Linked DNA regions of Arabidopsis thaliana. The protein of the gene in region 1 interacts with the protein of each later gene in a pairwise test. Each region holds a gene or a part of one and is shown in the gene's direction. Other genes may lie near its edges. The genes, in order: LUL3, UBC18, UBC29 and AT5G48385.

Evidence for each region.
Region 2: the proteins of LUL3 (region 1) and UBC18 interact in a two-hybrid assay, tested with the Arabidopsis thaliana proteins (one large-scale study listed by BioGRID).
Region 3: the proteins of LUL3 (region 1) and UBC29 interact in a two-hybrid assay, tested with the Arabidopsis thaliana proteins (one large-scale study listed by BioGRID).
Region 4: the proteins of LUL3 (region 1) and AT5G48385 interact in a two-hybrid assay, tested with the Arabidopsis thaliana proteins (one large-scale study listed by BioGRID).

Annotation. Positions count from the first base shown.
Region 1 is NC_003076.8:6,376,297-6,381,126, forward strand, and holds LUL3 (RING/U-box superfamily protein), read left to right. Parts: upstream 1-1,852; 5' UTR 1,853-2,103; coding exon 2,104-2,621; intron 2,622-3,123; coding exon 3,124-3,622; intron 3,623-3,871; coding exon 3,872-3,991; 3' UTR 3,992-4,309; downstream 4,310-4,830. Other genes in the region: AT5G19070 (SNARE associated Golgi protein family), read left to right, coding at 77-175, 301-387, 467-583, 677-769, 850-880, 972-1,174. UniProt on the Arabidopsis thaliana protein: Acts as an E3 ubiquitin-protein ligase, or as part of E3 complex, which accepts ubiquitin from specific E2 ubiquitin-conjugating enzymes and then transfers it to substrates (in vitro).
Region 2 is NC_003076.8:17,243,458-17,248,005, reverse strand, and holds UBC18 (ubiquitin-conjugating enzyme 18), read left to right. Parts: upstream 1-2,017; 5' UTR 2,018-2,101; coding exon 2,102-2,131; intron 2,132-2,215; coding exon 2,216-2,319; intron 2,320-2,406; coding exon 2,407-2,509; intron 2,510-2,729; coding exon 2,730-2,793; intron 2,794-3,510; coding exon 3,511-3,599; intron 3,600-3,704; coding exon 3,705-3,800; 3' UTR 3,801-4,019; downstream 4,020-4,548. Other genes in the region: AT5G43000 (uncharacterized protein), read left to right, coding at 804-1,652; TRX3 (thioredoxin 3), read right to left, coding at 4,288-4,434, 4,533-4,548. UniProt on the Arabidopsis thaliana protein: Accepts the ubiquitin from the E1 complex and catalyzes its covalent attachment to other proteins.
Region 3 is NC_003071.7:7,266,001-7,269,605, forward strand, and holds UBC29 (ubiquitin-conjugating enzyme 29), read left to right. Parts: upstream 1-1,721; 5' UTR 1,722-1,879; coding exon 1,880-1,949; intron 1,950-2,050; coding exon 2,051-2,178; intron 2,179-2,363; coding exon 2,364-2,468; intron 2,469-2,593; coding exon 2,594-2,737; 3' UTR 2,738-3,055; downstream 3,056-3,605. Other genes in the region: AT2G16730 (glycosyl hydrolase family 35 protein), read right to left, coding at 1-105. UniProt on the Arabidopsis thaliana protein: Accepts the ubiquitin from the E1 complex and catalyzes its covalent attachment to other proteins.
Region 4 is NC_003076.8:19,606,837-19,612,512, forward strand, and holds AT5G48385 (FRIGIDA-like protein), read left to right. Parts: upstream 1-1,653; 5' UTR 1,654-1,900; intron 1,901-2,450; 5' UTR 2,451-2,524; intron 2,525-2,623; 5' UTR 2,624-2,634; coding exon 2,635-3,697; intron 3,698-3,920; coding exon 3,921-4,093; intron 4,094-4,435; coding exon 4,436-4,876; 3' UTR 4,877-5,171; downstream 5,172-5,676. Other genes in the region: AtSPO22 (Tetratricopeptide repeat (TPR)-like superfamily protein), read left to right, coding at 5,242-5,676.

The DNA of each region.
Region 1 (4,830 bases):
AACTTTCTTTGTTAGAGTGACTGGTTTATCTATAAAATTGAGAAATCTTATTTGGTTGAAGCTGTGATATATTCAGCTCGGTGGTGGCTACCTTTTTGGGCTGCCAATTGGTTTTGTGGCGGACTCAGTCGGTGCTACACTTGGCTCAGGAGCTGCATTTCTACTAGGCCGTACGGTAAGCCACTCAAATTCTTATTGATTTGCAGACACAACCATTAGATTAATGAAGTGACATGCATAAACCACTGACGCTATCCTTTTTTGATATTTTGGTACTTACATGAAAATGCTCTTATGCAGATTGGAAAACCTTTTGTAGTTGCAAAATTAAAGGATTATCCTCAGTTTCAATCAGTGGCACTCGCGATAGAGAAATCCGGCTTCAAGGTTTGCACTGAGAACCCATTACAAGTTTTGTGCTGACACTCTTCTTTTGAAACTTATGAATATGCAAAACTGAATATAGATATGCTTGTTGCTCCGGCTTGCTCCTCTTCTTCCGTTCAGCATGTTGAACTACCTCTTATCTGTCACGCCAATTCGGCTAGGTCCATACTTGCTTTCTTCGTGGTTAGGGATGATGGTAATCTATTCTAATCCACCACTTCATAACGACTGCAAAATGTTTAAATTGTAAGATGGAAATAATACAGCTTGATACATTGTTAATTTGCAGCCAATAACACTTGCGTTAGTGTATGTTGGAACAACTCTAAAAGACCTTTCTGATGTAACTCACAAGTGGAGCGAGTTCTCGCCAGGTCGCTGGGTAAGATCTACACAAATTTTAATTACATTCTCAGCTTCTTGTTTCAATCTCTATTCTGACCTGTTTTCCGCAATCTGCAGGCGTTCTTGATTTCGAGCCTTGTAATATCCGGTTAGTTCGGCATAACTAATGTTACTAGTTCCTTCGATTGCGGCAGAATCACTAATGTTACAAGTTCCTTCTTCTATCTGTTTCTTTGCAGTGATATTAATGGTGTGTGTTACAAAGGTGGCGAAGGACGCTCTAAGAAAAGCTTTAGCAGAGCACGGAGGAGACATGAACGAAGCGGTTGCAGCCTTGCCGGAGCTGACCGTTACTGATGATGCTTCGACGGATTTAAATGAGCCTCTCTTGATAAAGATAGATGCACAACAACCTCAAGACCAAGTAAACCATAGTCATTAAAATTAAGATGATGAATACTTACTTTGTATAATCTTTATTTTAACATACAAAGCTTAGTTTTCTTGGTTTGTATAATAATAACATAGATTAAAAATTATTTTTAAAAAGTTATTTTTCTTAGTAACTTTGAGATGTAATTATTAGTTCACAGAGATTTAAAATATTGGATGAATAAAAAGAAACTAAATGGATTTTGGTTTGAGTTTCTAATTGCTCCAGCTAATCAGATATTTTGTTGACATTCACAAGCATTCTAAACATATCTATGACCTAAAAATGTTACAGGTATCTTAAAAATCTCCTAAACCAATATTCAATGAAGATTGTTGAATACGACTAAAGGTATATTTATTATACACAGAATCTGTTATGCATAAATTGAACCCATCAATTGAATATATGGGTATATTCATAACCAAAATTAGCTTTTATGATATTGGCTCAACTATTTTGGACTATTTAAAATCTCATCTTAATAACATAATTGGAAGAAAACCAAAATTAAGATGAAAACTTGTAAACTTTTATAAATGATCTGAATATAATTTACTAACATAATATTCAAAGTTAAGAACTTGTTGATATATGTGGTCAACTATAAAACACCACGTTTGAAATTCATAAGGTATTAGTTGATTTTTCATAGTTTTTCTCTATCAATAATGCTATTCGAAAAACGTCATGTATGTGTGTTTTCTAGATTTGAACAAGAAGAAACGGTCTTGTCTCTTTCGTTAGACGGTCATGTCTTCGGGAACATCCGATTAAAAAAAAAGTTACACGCGTTGACTTTTATTACAAAAATTGCAGTAAATCTGGCAGTAACTGCGTAAAGTAAAAATAATGTAAATAATAATCTTCACCGGAAGACAAATCTTTTGATCTGACTTTCGTCTCTCTGTCTCTCTTGTCTCGTTTCTTCAGAGGCTATGGGGATCTCCTTAAGCAAGCGTCGACGAGACAACAACAACAACCACCACCATCCCCACCACAATCCGCCGTACTATTACTCCGATCCTCCACCACAACAACCGCCGCCTCAAAACGGGTATAGCTACTCTCACAATTACCCCGTTTCAACTCCACAGCTCTCTCTTCCTCCACCACCGGCTCAGCCACCGTCTTCTTCTCAGCCTCCTCCGTCGCAGATTAGTTACCGACCGTACGGTCAAAACTACCATCAAAACCAATACTACCCGCAACAAGCTCCTCCGTATTTCACCGGTTATCATCACAATGGGTTTAATCCGATGATGAGGCCGGTTTATTTCGGTCCGACTCCGGTTGCGGTTATGGAACCGCCTGCACCTTATGTGGAGCATCAGACCGCTAAGAAGGTTAAGAACGATGTCAATGTGAATAAAGCTACGGTGAGGCTCGTAGCTGACGATCTTAACCCTGGTCATTATCTTGTTTCCTTCGTCTTCGATGCCTTATTCGATGGCAGGTATAACTTCTTCACTCCAAAATTTGAGTCAAGTTTCCGACTTTAGAACCAGAATTTGAATGAGATTGGCTAATTAGCGTAGAGGGGTCTTGTAGATTATACTGAATCTCAAATTTGGATCGTAAAGGTTCAAACTTTACATGATATGACTCATTTATTCAGTGAAAGTTAGGGTTTTTGCTGGGACGAGATTGATTAAAAGGAAACATCTTTACTCATGTTTCAGTTCTGAATTATGTGTTGCCACAATTTGGGATGAAAAAGGTTAAAATTTGACATGATCTAGGTGATGAATATGTGATTGGTTCAGAAACCAAACAATACAGGCTTCAGTTACATAACTGATTGATTTTAGGAGTTATTGTAGTTCATTTAATGGTTCGGAACTACTAAGCTAGTTAGCAACTGAATCAACCTTATTACTCTCCTGTGTTGCATACCAAGTTTAGGTATTAAGATTATCTGACGAGGAGTCTCATTATGTTACTTGTCTCATTTTCAGTTTCACTATCATATTTTTTGGAGAAGAGGAATCAAAGTGCACAATCGTCCCTCATTTACCAGAAGCTTTCCCACCAATCAAAGTCCCTTTCCAAAAAGGTGCCGGGCAGAAGTTTCTACAAGCTCCAGGGACAGGAATCGACCTAGGCTTCTTTTCACTGGATGATCTATCGAAACCATCACCAGAAGAGGTGTACCCACTTGTAATATCAGCCGAGACAGTAATATCACCAAGCTCGGTTTCAGAGGAACCATTAGTTCATAAGCAGATCACTCAAGCGGTTTTGGAGAAGACTAATGATGGATCTTTCAAAGTGAAAGTCATGAAACAGATTCTATGGATTGAAGGAGAACGATATGAACTACAAGAGTTGTATGGAATCGATAATTCAATCACACAAGGTACTGCTGCATCGGGGTTAGAGGATACTGGTGGCAAAGAATGTGTCATTTGCTTGACTGAACCTAAGGACACAGCCGTCATGCCTTGTAGACATTTGGTACAAACTTCTAGCAATTCTCTTTGCTTTCTTCAATTCTTCTAAACGCAATTTTTTTCATTTACTCGGTAAACCTATAAATCGTTGGTAGCGTTTCAGTTATGGAACAAGCAAATTCTGTCATTTTAGACTTGCTTCATATTGCTGTTGATTGTCTCTAAAGCAAATCTACATCAAGTCTTTCACAAGACCATAACTTTTTGGTTGAATTGTCATCAAGACTAAATCATGTTGTGTTGTCTGTTGCAGTGTTTGTGCAGTGATTGCGCAGAAGAACTGAGGTTTCAGACAAACAAATGTCCCATTTGTAGACAACCTATCCATGAGCTTGTAAAGATTAAAGTGGAAAGTAGTGATGAACAACACTGAAAAAGAGGTTTCTTCCCTTCACTTAAACACCATGTTTGATTCTTTCTTCTTCTTCTTTTTGAAAACCGTCAAATCGAATTCTTTTGCCCTTTTTTCTTATACAAATGTGTTTTCTCATGTCATACTCTTGCACATATTTGTTGGTCTTAGTTTTGGGAAACTCAAAGAAAAAAAAGTCAGTAATGTATATATAGCTCCAATGGTTCTTGAGAAACTTTCTCTTTGTATCTTTCTACTTGAAACACTCATTCTGTAACTGAATACTTTTTGGTTTGGGCATTGCTCAAATATAACTTGCAATCATATGTTGTTTATCGTAACGTTTCGGGTTTATAATCTAGAAACCGAACCTCCTAGTAACCACAATTCTATATCAAAAATAGACAGGAAAAATCTGCAAGAGTCTTGGATAGCTCTATGTGTCCCTAATTTGGCTTTCTTTTAACTCTTTCTTTTTGAGAAAGTAAAAGTTTGTGTAGATGAGAAAATGGGGACCTTGATAATTACAAAGATTCAAAAGAAAATAAAGAGAGATGGGAACTGAAGTTGATGAGAACATTCAAAGAAGTAATCTTTTTTTCTTCTCTCCTTTTTGCTTTTTGTCTGTAAAAAAGGCTCAAATAAAAGGAAAAGCTGGTAGGAGATGGAGAATGTTTCCTATTGAAGTTAAGCCTGAGAAAGAAAAAAGTTTTAAAAAAAAAGTGAAGCTTGAGTTCATTCTTTTTGACAGAATGCTCAAACTTTTGAAATGAGGAATAAAAAAAAGTCTTTGTTTGATAGTAGTGAAGTGACTCTCTTTACAAGCAATATTATTTCTCCATACACATTATGATTCCATG
Region 2 (4,548 bases), about 11 Mb from region 1:
TATTGTGATTCGAAATTTTGAAAACGGACATATATTAATTGATAAACGAAAAATATATGGATTTAAGCTAAAATGTTTAAATCTGATGACAAGAAAAAGAAAAAAAAAAGCTAACATGTTTAGGGGATGATTCAAAATCATATCATAAATAAGATCAACATTAATAAAATAATTTTTGAGTGGGACGTGTTTGACGGTATCTTACTTAATAACAATTGTAAACTATAAAATATAAATATTTTATAAATAAAAACAATTTGCAAACTTTTATATATACTAACTTTAGGAAAAAAAATTGTCTCACTCATGATGTACCTTTATTATAAAAACATAAAATTAATTAAGTAATGATATTTTCGATTTTTTTCTAGCGCAATAAGAATAGAATTACCGTAAAAAAATAAAAATAAGATTAGGATTAAATTAGCTAGGACAACTTTTTCAAAAAGAAAATTAACATGCCGAAATCATGAACGTCGTAAATCATCAAACAGCTAGGATTCGTTGTATCATACACTTAAAATGATTAGAGAGTTGATCTATTACTCTAGAGTTTACTTGCAATGATCTCAAACATAAAAATATTAAAACGTTTATTTGATTCCCTATGCAATGAAAAGTGAAGATCTTTATGATTAGCACGGAATTTTCCAAGCTTAACTTTTGACTTTTGTCTCCCTAATCATTCATTAATAACCACTTCATGTCTTTATAAAAAGCACCCCGTACGAAGTTCTTCACTCAAAGCTCCTCATACCATAGTATATTTTGAGCTTTCTAATCACATAGTAATAATTTTGAAAATGGCGATCCTAACTCCCGTCATTAAACTCGTTGTTTTTAGGCAAAGTCTACGACCACATTCTGCTATTGCATTCCTCGTTGAGTTTCTTTGCTTCGTCTTAGAATTACTCGACAAGGAGAAAGATCTAGCCAAAATATTCGGTATCGTATGTGCTTGCGACACATTAATCTTCACTTTGCTCGATCTTATCCAAAGTTTGATCGAGGAAGAAGTGAAAATACAAAGATGCGGCCGAGTGTTTTGGCTTTACACAAACGATGGGAGCCTCTATTGGCACACATTAAACGCATATCTTTTGATGTTATGCATTGTCCACGTCATCGGTTCCACGATCTCTTACGTTTCTCATAAACATTATCTAGTCTTGCTCCCGCTTTTCGCAGCCGGACTCGAACTCGTCCCACAAGAAGCCTATCGAGTTCTTGGACCGGATCAAGAGTCTGGAAATTCTATTGAGCCTCTTAATGGTCCATTAAATGGTATTGAGCTTGAACAAGGAATGGTTGTTCATGTTGAGCCTCTTCAAGAGCCACTAGATGGTATTGAGCTAGAGCAAGAACTCGTCCCACAAGAAACCAATCGGGTTCTTGGACCGGACCAAGAGTCACAAAACTGTATCGGGGCTCTTAATGACCCATCAGATGGAAAAGACCAAAACCTTCAAGATGATATTGTGCTAGATCAAGAGTCACAAGATTGTATTATTGCACCTCATCAATGTCCATTAGATGGTATTGACCTACAACAAGAAACGGTAGTTCACGTTGAGCCTCTTCAAGACCCACTAGATGGTATTGAGCTAGAGCAAGAAGTGGCTATTCATGTTGGGCCAAATGATGACCCATAAACTATTAGAAGCCTACTATAGAATGAAAGCTGAAACATTATATAGATGGAGACGTATGTTTAATGTAATGTACTTTGTCTTAAAAACTTATGTACTTATGATCGTACGACTTTGGTAGCTACAATGTAAGAGAATCTTTGTTACAAAAAAAAATCTATAAATAAAATCGACTCTTCAATGTCCCGTGGAGTCAGTGAAGGATAAACGACACGTGTGAACACGAAGGAAGATTAATAGCCGTCCGATGAAAATGGTTAATTTTGTAATTTTGACTCTTTCACGTGTGCCCTTTCCTCACCCCGAAAAATATTTTTATTTCCTTTTGTTTACACTTTTTGATTTCATTTTCAATAATAATAATATTCGAGTAGAAGAAGAAAGATCCAGACAAAAGCTTAAGCAAGACCTCTCTGTCTTCGTCTCTCTCTCTCTCTCTCTTTGTCTCCGCCATGACAAGCTCTTCATCTCCTTCACGCAAGGTTCTTAGATTCTCTCACTCTTGTCTTCTTATGTGTTTTTTGATTCTCCGATTGTGATTTTTTGAATTTTTGAGATTTGTGTAGGCGTTAAGCAAGATCGCGTGTAATAGGTTACAAAAGGAGTTATCAGAGTGGCAAGTAAATCCACCGACTGGGTTTAAGCACAGAGTTACTGATAATCTTCAAAAGTAATTTTCATTTCAAAATCTTTCCTTTTTTTGATTATTTATCATTTCGATTTTTGATTGTTTTTTTTGTTTTTGTGTGATTTAAAGATGGGTAATTGAGGTAACAGGAGCACCTGGTACGCTTTACGCTAATGAAACTTATAATCTTCAGGTTGAGTTTCCTCAACATTATCCTATGGAAGCTCCTCAGGCAAGTTTTTCATTGTGTTGGTTTTGTTCTGAAAAATTTGTTGTTTTTGATTAAGGGTTTATTTCAAATTTCTTAATTGTGGATTAATTAACTGAAACCAGAGTGTTTTTATGGTTGTATTGCATGTTTTAGGTCAGAGAATTAGTTTGAGATATAGTGACATTTTCTCTACTTGGTTTTGTGCTGTGTTCTGATTTTCATGTGTTTGGTTTTTGATCAGGTGATTTTTGTTCCACCAGCACCGTTACATCCTCATATTTACAGCAATGGACATATTTGTTTAGGTAATTTTACTCATTGTTTCTACACTACTTACTCTTTGCATTTGCTCTTACTTTTTGGTTTCTCTGAAATGCTAGCTCAAGTCATGTGTGTGTCAATCAAATTAGTTTATCTGTTTGATACTTACATATATAGGTTGTTCTTGTTCACGGAATGTAATGTAGCGAAAAGAGAAGCAATGTTAGTAACAATACCCTTAAGAGTCCTAATATATTATATCAACATTGTTACCAGTCTTAACCTTTTTCTCAGTCTGTCTCATTCTTAAAGAGTTCCTAATACTAGCGTCGCATGACATGAAATTAGGTGTGAATGTGTTATCAACGCCATAAAGAAAACCAATACCGTCCCTTTTGGACTCTATGGTGAATTCTTTAGCAAAATCAGAATCTGATCCATGATTATAACAGCCTCTCAATTTCTAGTTATATTGAAACTCCCTTTGGAATGTTGATCAAATAACTTGAAACTCCCATTTGAGTTAAAATCAAATAACACATTTTAGTTTTGCTGTTTTCACTAAACAATAAGAACATGAAAGTTTTATGTAAATTTCTTAAATCTGTTCTCAATGCATCTAAATCCGGTCTAATGAAATCGTGGTGGAACTGAACCATTTGTTACAATACATAATCACGATTATACCCGGCCTCATTTTAGGAGAAAGTCCATTAGGATTATGCGCTTAATATAACACACTCTCTAATTCCTTTTTGTAGATATTCTGTATGACTCATGGTCTCCAGCAATGACAGTGAGTTCAGTCTGCATCAGCATCCTCTCAATGCTATCAAGTTCCCCCGAAAAGGTTTCTACATTTGATCTCTCACACTTTGTATTGTTGTCACAAATTCAAACTTTTTGACCCTGCCACACAACTCTTACTATGTCTTATTGTCGATGACAATATCAGCAACGCCCGACTGATAACGATCGATATGTGAAGAACTGCAAGAACGGGAGGTCTCCTAAAGAGACAAGGTGGTGGTTCCATGACGACAAGGTTTAATGATGACGACCGTAAGATGTCTCTCCTTTCAGTTACAAAAGAGGTTTATATAATTTCCCAAGACTGATAATACTAATTGAAATTCCTCATGGCCTCCCACTTTTTTTTCTGTAACGGATCATTATGTATAAATGACATCTGAAATGTTTCAGTGTCTGAATTAACACCTTGTGCTTTTGTCCTTTCTGAAGTGAAAAACCATGGAGAGTTTAGGCAAAACGAAATTGTATTTGGCAATGTAATTGGATTGATAACTAGTTGGTGTAATGTAATTGAAAATTGAAAAACTAACATAACAATAGAATCCCCAAAGAGTAAACATAACCATGAACGAACAATTAGCATAGCTGCGAGTAATCAAGTTTGCAACAACATTTATTCACCACCACACATAAGAGCACATTTAAGGTGAAAAGACTCGGGCGAACAAAGGATTTATTAAAACACCAAACATATTTTAGCAAAATAGGTAAGAGAGAAAAGCAAATCAAGCAGCAGCAACAACTGTCTTGTGCTTCTCGAGATTGGCAATGATTTCTTCTTTAGCAGCACCAACCACAGTCTCCTTGATCTCTCCTTCTTTCATGAAGATAAACGTTGGCATTGCCTGAACTTTAAACTCCTCAGCAACAGTCTGCACAACAACATAACAAGCAAGATAAAGGCTCAGAGAAGTCAAAAATCCCTAAGTTTGGATATTGGGATAGTGTAAGATTGATGAAGGAAACTCACGTTCAATTCGTCAACA
Region 3 (3,605 bases), on another chromosome or scaffold:
CGTCTTCTTCTCTTTGTCATCGCTTGAGAGAGCTCCAGAGAAGGAGAGGAGAATCACGAGAACGGCTAGTAAAAGCCATGAATGATCAGAAGAATGTATTTTCATTTGACTATCTTCTTCTTCTTCTTCTTCTTCTTGAGGATTTTTAAATTTAAACAAGAATCCACCTAAAGGGATATCTTCCTTGTCAGAGAAATAAAAACTTTAGAGAAAGAAAATGAAATAAGAGAATGTTTCGCAGAGAACATAAGGTTTCAGAGAAATTCACGTATTCTCAATTTGAGATTCCACATTTTGTTTGTAAATAAAACTTCCAATAACTCTCCCTTTTATTTCCTTATTTCCTCCTTTCATTTTGTTTTCGTTGAATTTTCTAATTTTAAGGTTTTTGGTTGAAGAGCCTAATTTGGCGGGTATACACACAATGACTTCTCTCAATCACCACCAAAAAGAAATGTGAGCCAATGCTTATGTTGAGAAGGTGCGTATTACACCAAAAAAAAATGGTTCATACGAAACCAATGATTTTATTTTATTTTATTATGTTCATTATAAACACCACTTTTGGTTCTTCTTTAATTGTGGAAATGTGGATTAAATCCATGAGAGATCTAACAAAAATTTGTGTAACCTGTTATCTAGTTATTATTCTTTGTCTACAAGTTGAGTAAATTTTTTTGCTGTAATTTGGATTATCATCGTTTAAACCTTTAGCTTATTTCTAACTTTAAATATCATAACGGCAAAAATTGTAAAAGCTTTGGTATGCTTCTTTTACGTAAAATACATAAATGTGTTGACCGTGTGGTTGAAGATTGAAAGCAAAGCAAACAACATTTGTTACAAAAAAAATGGCTATTTTTTTAAGTAATCAATTAATCGTCTTTTAAAAAATCGAGACCAACTATTGTTGAGAATTATTTTCCTCCCGTAATCACCATCATAAAATATCGGTTGGGCAAATCACGTAGCATGCATGTACATTAACTTTGGACTAACAGCTGTGGAGTTTCTTCTTATAGCAATATTCAAAAGACCTAATAAGTCTGAAATAAACAGAGGCTTGAAGGTTATACTTAGATTGAAAGGCAATGATTTACATTTACATATATAGGTTGATCAATGACGATCTCTACGATATGTTGTGATATAAATCTTTAAAATAAGGAAATAATATATGCATCACTGATTTGTGGAGTGTTCCTCACTCGACGCCACTCTGATTTGTAAATTTTTTATTGTAAAATTTTAAAGTATGTAAATAGGGCCTATAATTTTTTTTCCTAATGATACATGGGCCTATAATCTTAAGAAACTTTTGAAATGGGTCCTATAAGTTTTCAATAACTATTTTACCTCATCAAATGTATGTTATGATTTATGATTATATTTGTTGAACATGATGCTCATCACCCATCACTTTGCTGGTCCAGTGAACGTGGACAATAAGATTAAGAACAAAGGATATTGTAATAACCATTCTTTATGTTAAGTTATTCTGATTCTCAGACTTTATCAAATCCCATTATAGACCGTTCAATAGATATGGTATATTACAGTAAGCATGTACGTAAGACCATCCACTTCAAGGCACGTCTCTCTTTCAGAATCAGAACAAAAGAATGGATCTTTCTCCATTACCTTTATGGGCAAAGCGGGCGGCTAAAAAGAGACTTTACAATGGTAAATCTTTACTTAAACAATGATAAATGCAATAGTGCAAGCATTCCTGTTTGCAAGAGAATCACAAATCTTTGCTTACGGTTCACGCTTTAAAAACACAACTCTCATTCTCCTTCTCTTCACAAACCACTCATATTTTTTTTCACATACTTCTTTGTAGTGCTACTTTCCATTATATCAAACACTCAGCAACCTGATGGCAACGAGACGGATATTGAAAGAATTGAAGGAGTTGCAAAGAGACCCTCCTGTATCATGCAGTGCAGGTAAAGGATCACAATTTGTTCTTAATACAATATAAGCCATGTATCAGAAATTTTTTCTAAAGATTTTGATATTTCCTTTCTCCTTGGTTTGGGATTTTTAGGTCCAACAGGAGAAGATATGTTCCACTGGCAAGCTACTATAATGGGTCCGAATGAAAGTCCTTACTCCGGAGGTGTTTTCCTTGTCAATATTCATTTCCCTCCTGATTATCCTTTTAAACCTCCCAAGGTAACAACTTTCTCAACAATTTTTTTGTTTTTTAATCTACTTCTTAAATCCAATAACCAAAAGGCACAAAACCAACATTAAATATTGGATCGTTTATGATCTTTTGGAACCTTAAGTTTTGATCTTTATTTTCAATCTTTTTCTTCTTCTTTACTCTTGTTGTTATGTTTGTTTGATAAAATCAGGTTGTATTCAGAACCAAAGTGTTTCACCCAAACATCAACAGTAATGGAAACATATGTTTGGACATTCTCAAAGACCAATGGAGCCCTGCCCTTACCATTTCTAAGGTTTGAAATTCTATATATGTATTTAGTTATTTGTCAATATTTTCTATAATTCCATATATCAGATTTGGTATATAACCAAGAAGCTCCAATAGGTAACACAAATTACTAACATTTTGGTATTATAGGTGCTTCTCTCTATATGCTCTCTTCTAACAGATCCAAACCCTGACGACCCTCTGGTGCCAGAGATAGCTCACATATACAAAACTGACAAGACCAAATATGAAGCCATGGCTCGAAGCTGGACCCAGAAGTATGCCTTGTTTTAAAGCTCACAATTCCTCTTTTTTTCCTTTTTATTTTGGTTTGGTCTTATTTGTAATAAAAAAAGAAGAAGAAGAAATTGTTATAATTTTAATACAAACATATATAATATATAAAGTAGAGTTTTCAAAGTTGTTAACTCATATGATTGATGAGATATCGACATGTATTAAATCTAATTTTGTTAATATATAAAAAATCTTCTAACCCTATCGGGAAAATAAAATATATACATAAATCACAAAAATTATTTATATAATCAAAAAATTTAATTATATTTTATATAATAAAATAATTCATATTATTAGCGAATTTGTTTTTTTTAAAGGACCGTTCAAATATGTTTTTTTGTGTATTTTGTCGAAATTTTTGTTATTTTTCTTTTTATTTTGTTAAAATAACTCTAAAATATAGATTTCAAACAACACATAAAATAGTGAGATGCATAGATAAAGGTTATAATGGGAAAACTCAATAGTATCAAAGATAAATGAGAATTAATTATAGTCATGTTTGTGTAAAAAATTTAGGACAAGTTACTAATATTTAAAGTTTAAGCCTAGTTATTTAGTAAACAACAAAAATAACTTACGTTATCTAACGATATTTTTGGAGAATAGATAGATTGAAATAAGAGTTAGAACACTAAATATTGAAAACGTGTGTGGGTTACTATTTAAAATTTAAATATCATAAAGAATTAAAACACGAAGATGAAATATGTAGAAATATTTTTTCAGCTCTTATCCATTAAAATGAAATATATAGAATTAAAATTCAGTATATTTTCATGAAATATATAGTTAAATTATTGCAAAATAGAATGGATAAAATTAAATTTTGGTTTTAAAATATTTAGATAAAATGAAAAAG
Region 4 (5,676 bases), about 13 Mb from region 1:
AGCACAATGAAGAAGGAGAAGAAAATCGCATCTGTGGCTAAGTGGTTATGAATGATGATGATGATGATGATGAAGAAAGGAGTTGGGAATAATTTAATAAAGGAGTCGTCTTTGTGAGTGAGTTGACTGGGACTTTGGATCGTCGTCGTCGTCTAGTGAAAGTTCGTGAAGAATGGGGCAAAGAAAAGAGAGACACTGATGATGAGAACGCAATGACTCCCAACAAAAACCAAATCGGTCTTTGCGCGTTAAATGTTTTTTTTTTCTTTCTTCTCTTTTTGACTTTTCAACATCATCATATATATTATCTTGTTTGTTAGGAGATGGACAAATTTTTCTTCCATTTGGTATTTTTCGCTTTTCATTCGTTTTTAGATAATTCTGGATATTTTGTAAATGGTTTTGGTGTTTTGACCAAATCAAAGAATGGAATATGACATTTACAAGAAATGTTTTCTTGGTATTAGTTTTTGACAAATACCAATGCATAATAATTTGTATCACAAAAATTGAATATCATGTCACATATTTAAATACTTATTAGGAGTAGTACTTATTTTGTTGTTGTTGGAATCTTTAAATTATGGGTTGACAGTTATATATATATATATATATATAAAAAGCTTGTTCATTTAGCAGATGTACCCGCCAACCACGGTTCAGCAAACACCCCAAAATGTTAATTCGTGTTGTTTATGTATTGTCAGTTTGTAACATAACGATTTTAGAAATTTTACAGAGTGTTTATATACAGAGACTCTAATACCATGTAGACTAAGAGTATATCGAATATATGAAACAAGATGATTACAGAGTGTTTATATACAAAGACTAGAAAGCTACTGAAGGAAACTTAATATTGTATACAATGATTATGAGCAATTAACGTGATTGACGATATTGATTCTCTTCATTATCTTGATTGATATGATTATCCTTGATAGTCAGTTTGTAACATAACGATTTTAGAGAGGAGATAAACCACGAATCACAACCTCTAGTCTCTCCCAAGCCAAATCCGCCATTCGTGACCTGAACCAACTTCGAAATTCATTTGATATTTGTAATGTTTTGTACCAAATCATTCACCATATATAATACAATTGTAGAATTCCAACAATTTGGGAAGTTGTAAGATTTATTTACTCTTGGTTTAGTCTTTCCTCTTTGACAAATACCAATGTATAACCAAACTATATTTTCATTGTTGCTCTTATTAAGAAAACAATCATATATAAATTTTGCATTCAAAAAAATTAGACACATAGTTTCATCCTTGGAGACAATTTATATGATCGAAACATCCGATGAAGAATATCAGTCTATGAAAGATTGTGCAATCTAGTTTTTTCCCCATTATAACATAGCCTTAAGCATGAAGCCAAAGCTTCGTCAACAGGTTAAAAAGATTGGGTGTTTGGTAAAAAAAGTTAAGGAATTTAAAGAGTGATTGATACACATAGATGGTGAATATACCAATTAATAGAAAAAAAGGAGGAAAGAGTAAATTACAAGTTCCCGGCAGTTTCAGACAAACTCACGTGACGCAAACTTTAAAGGGTTTGACTAGAGCCACATAAGCTGTCTGGTCCGAACCAGATATGATAGTGAAGAACGAGCCATTAAACCACACCAGTCTCTCTCACGTGCCAACTAAGTAAAATTGGGTGTGCTTAATAAAGTGTCTGTTATAAATCGCTTTGCTTCCTTTTATTTTGCCTCTCTTCTACTTTCCTCTTTCCTTTTTAGGGATTTCACTTTCCTCTTCTCTCTCTCTCTCTCTCTGCCTAACCTCGATTTCTCTCGATCGCTCTTCACCATGGATCTACGATCATGTGGTCCTTCTTGAAGTTTTTTGATCTCTTCTTCTTACGGGTTTTTACTTCGTTTGATTTTCCTGGTAAAGTTGCTTTTTTTTTATCTTCTCTTGAGGTATATACTTTTTTTTTGTTTTGAGTTCATGTTCGTGTTCTCTTCACTGTAGCTAGGGTTTGTTGATTTCTCCACAATATAGCTCAAAATTTCTGCTATGACCTTGAATTTTGGTCGTGAAGTTTGTTTATGTGATGGATTAAGCTGGGATTTCATAGAATCACTGAATCAGCTTGCTTGTTTCTACTCTCATTTCGTCATCTACTCTTCTCTTAATCTGTATTTGTATTATTTCAGCTAATTTTTTTATAAGTACGTCTGATTAGTTCTTGAGGTTGAATTATCTTTGTGACTAAAAAATAGTGTGAATTTTTCTTGAATGGATTCATTTTTTTGGGGGTTTCTTGTTCATTTGTCTTTACTTGCCTTGTAGGCCATTTTCTTACATAGTTGTCCACTATGACTTGTACGGTCTTGTTACAGAGCTAATTTGTTTTTATCTTTAACGAGTGATATTGTCATTGGATAGTTTTGACTGATCTTTGTTTATCTGTTCTTGATGATTTTTTTTTTTGTAGTTGTTTGTTGTTCAAGGATCGAGATTTCGTGGAGCTCTCTATTCGCAGCTTGGAGATTGGACTTGTTTGAATTGGTAACAATATTGTGTCTGGCCTCTAATGTCGTTGTACTCATGTTTGTTTTTATTTGTTCGGGACTTTTTAATCATTACTTAAATTTCCGTTTTATTTAGGCTCTTTTGTGATGGAGGATACTCGGTCAGTTGCTTCACTCATGGACTCTACATCATCCAAGATTCAGCAGCTTCAGAAGGCGTTTGCTGAACTTGAAAGTCAGCGTGCTGTAACACTTAATCTGAAGTGGAAGGAACTTGAGGAGCATTTTCATGGGCTTGAGAGGTCTTTGAAGAGAAGGTTTCATGAGCTTGAAGATCAAGAAAAAGAGTATGAAACCAAAACAAGGAAAGCTCAAGAACTGTTGGAGAAAAAGAAGGCAGCTGTTGAGGCTAAGGAGAAGGCGGCGCTTGAAAGGCTTCAGAAGAAGAGAGACGCAGCTATGTTTACTATAAACAGTGCTTTGGATAAGTATAACAACGCTCCTGTCAGTAAACCTTCTGTTGGTGAACGTTGGCCACAAAATGCTGTAGAGGATTCATCCAATGTCTTTGCTGCTGATAGTATTACCGATGATAATCCGGATGGTATTGTGCAAGATGTTCAGATCTCACCTGTGATGGGAAATTATGAGGTGAAGGCTTATCCACAGTTACTGAAACTGTGCGGGGATATGGACTCAACGGGTCTCCATAAGTTTGTATCAGATAACCGCAAGAACCTTGCATCACTAAAGGAGGAGATTCCTATGGCGTTCAGGGCTGCAGCAAACCCAGCCAGCTTAGTGTTGGACTCTTTGGAAGGGTTTTACCCTATGGAGGCACCAACTGCTGATGGAAAAAAAGACGCTAACCTCTTGGGCATGCGCAGAACCTGTATCATGTTGATGGAGTGCCTTAGCATACTGTTATCTGGTCTGGACCGCAACTGCCTTGCTGTTGTTCTCTCACAAAATGTTAAGCATAGAGCCAAAACTATTGCAGAAGGATGGAATCCACTGCTGGAATCTCTTGACATGGATGCTTGCAATGGTAATTCTTTGGAGGCTCATGCATTCCTGCAACTGCTGGCCACTTTTGCTATTGTTGCTGATTTTAAAGAAGATGAACTCTTAAAGCTGATCCCCATGGTTTCACGTCGCCGTCAGGCAGCTGAGCTCTGCCGTTCACTTGGATTAGCTGAAAAAATGCCTGGTTTGTTCTCTTAACTTTTAGTATATGGCTGATTATCTTACAGGTTATGACATTTCGATAGGAAAGTTGATGTTTGATAGTAACTATTTAGTGAGTGATAGGGTCTCTGGTCAAGGGCCTAAACATGGTGGATATCTGTGTTTTTCCTTGTTTAGTTTACACCCAGATTCTCTACCTTATCCCTTGATCTTATCTTTAATGTGCACTGCTCCTTTTATTCCAGGTGTGATTGAAGTTCTCGTGAACAGTGGAAAACAGATTGATGCGGTTAACTTGGCATTTGCGTTTGAACTCACAGAACAGTTCTCACCTGTCTCATTACTGAAATCTTACTTGATAGAGGCAAGGCGATCTTCCCCCCAAGGCAGACCTGGCAATGCATCTCCTGCTGTTCAGGCAAGTGTTCCCTGACTTGATAACTTGCAGTTATAGATTACCTTGTTGGTGAAAATGAAGGGCTATATTAATGCATTTTGCCTAGAACGAGTGATCTTATCTTTTATTGAACTCGTTACCTTTTCTCGAGCATCTGGCTATTTGAAAAAGTAAATCTTACCTCGCTGGAACATTCCTGAGCTCTGTTCAGTTAGCTGTCATATTTTACTCCAGACTTCTAACACCATTTGAAACTGAAAACCGATGCTTTCATTATCAATTACTTTAGGCGTATATCATAGTACTTGCTGATGCAGGATCAGTCTCATATTGTTGTACATTATTATGTGTGTACCAATGCAGGATGAGTTCAATGAGCGGGAGCTTATAGGCCTCAAAACCGTTATAAAGTGTATCGAAGAGCATAGCCTGGAAGAGCAGTACCCAGTTGAGCCACTTCACAAACGGATTCTCCAGCTCGAGAAAGCCAAAGCGGACAAAAAGAGAGCAACAGAACCCATGAAACCTCAGCCAAAACGACCACGTGGTGCTCAACCCCGAGTCACTGACAACAACAACAACATCAACAACAACAAGACAGGATACGGTAGAGTCATCCCTGAAAGGTATCCGCAGTATGTCTATGACAACAGACCGTTCCTTAGCGGTCCAATCATGGCAGCACAACCTCCACCACCTCCTCCTCCTCAGACTTACACGTTCAATCCTGCTCCTGCACATGGGAACTTCTACGCGAACTGCTATCAGTACCAGGCTCCTCCTCCTCCTCCTTACTTTCACTAGTGATAAAAAAAGGTGAATGGTAAAATGTGACTGTGACTGTGACTCCCCTTTGGTGTTAACTTGTGGCAGCTCTTTTTTAACTCCTCTCCTTAGTTCTCTTTCCCTTTGATGTTGTTGTTGTGTACGGATGGTTTTAGTATTTTTAAGGATCAACCCTACTCAAAACAAAAAACAAAAAAATACTCAGATTTTCTTATTAATTATTATATCTTTAATGTTGTATTTTATTATTTTTCCTTAACCTACACAGGAGGTGTAAATTACAATACTAACCCTAATTTGAATTTCGAAAATATCTTATTCTCTCAGACTCGGTCCTTCGAAATTCCCAATTCTCTCTCTGAAATCTCCCGCCAACAATCGAAATGAGAATCGCCGAGATCACCACGCCGGACCTCCGGTTACATCACCGGGAAACCGATTCACACACTCACCATCCTCTTCTCTCCGAGATCGAGCTCTTAATCCAACAATCTGAAGCCATTTCCAAAGATCAGCCGCTACCTCAATCTCTCCCTATTTCTCTTAGACAATTCCTAACTCGGCTGAGTCAACTTGCTCCTTTTCCCGATAACTCCTTCAAGCTTACCATATGGAAACTCAGCTTTCGCCTCTGGAATGCTTGTGTTGATCTCGCTAACGCCGCCTCTCTCCAATCCTCTTTAACCTCCGCCGAGAACATTGCGAATCTCAGACATGTTGCCGCCGATATGCTTTTTCTCGCTAAGGACGTTACCGGTGTTCCATCTCCGACGATTAAGTCCTCTCTATTCTACTATAAGACCGGTCTTGTTTATCAC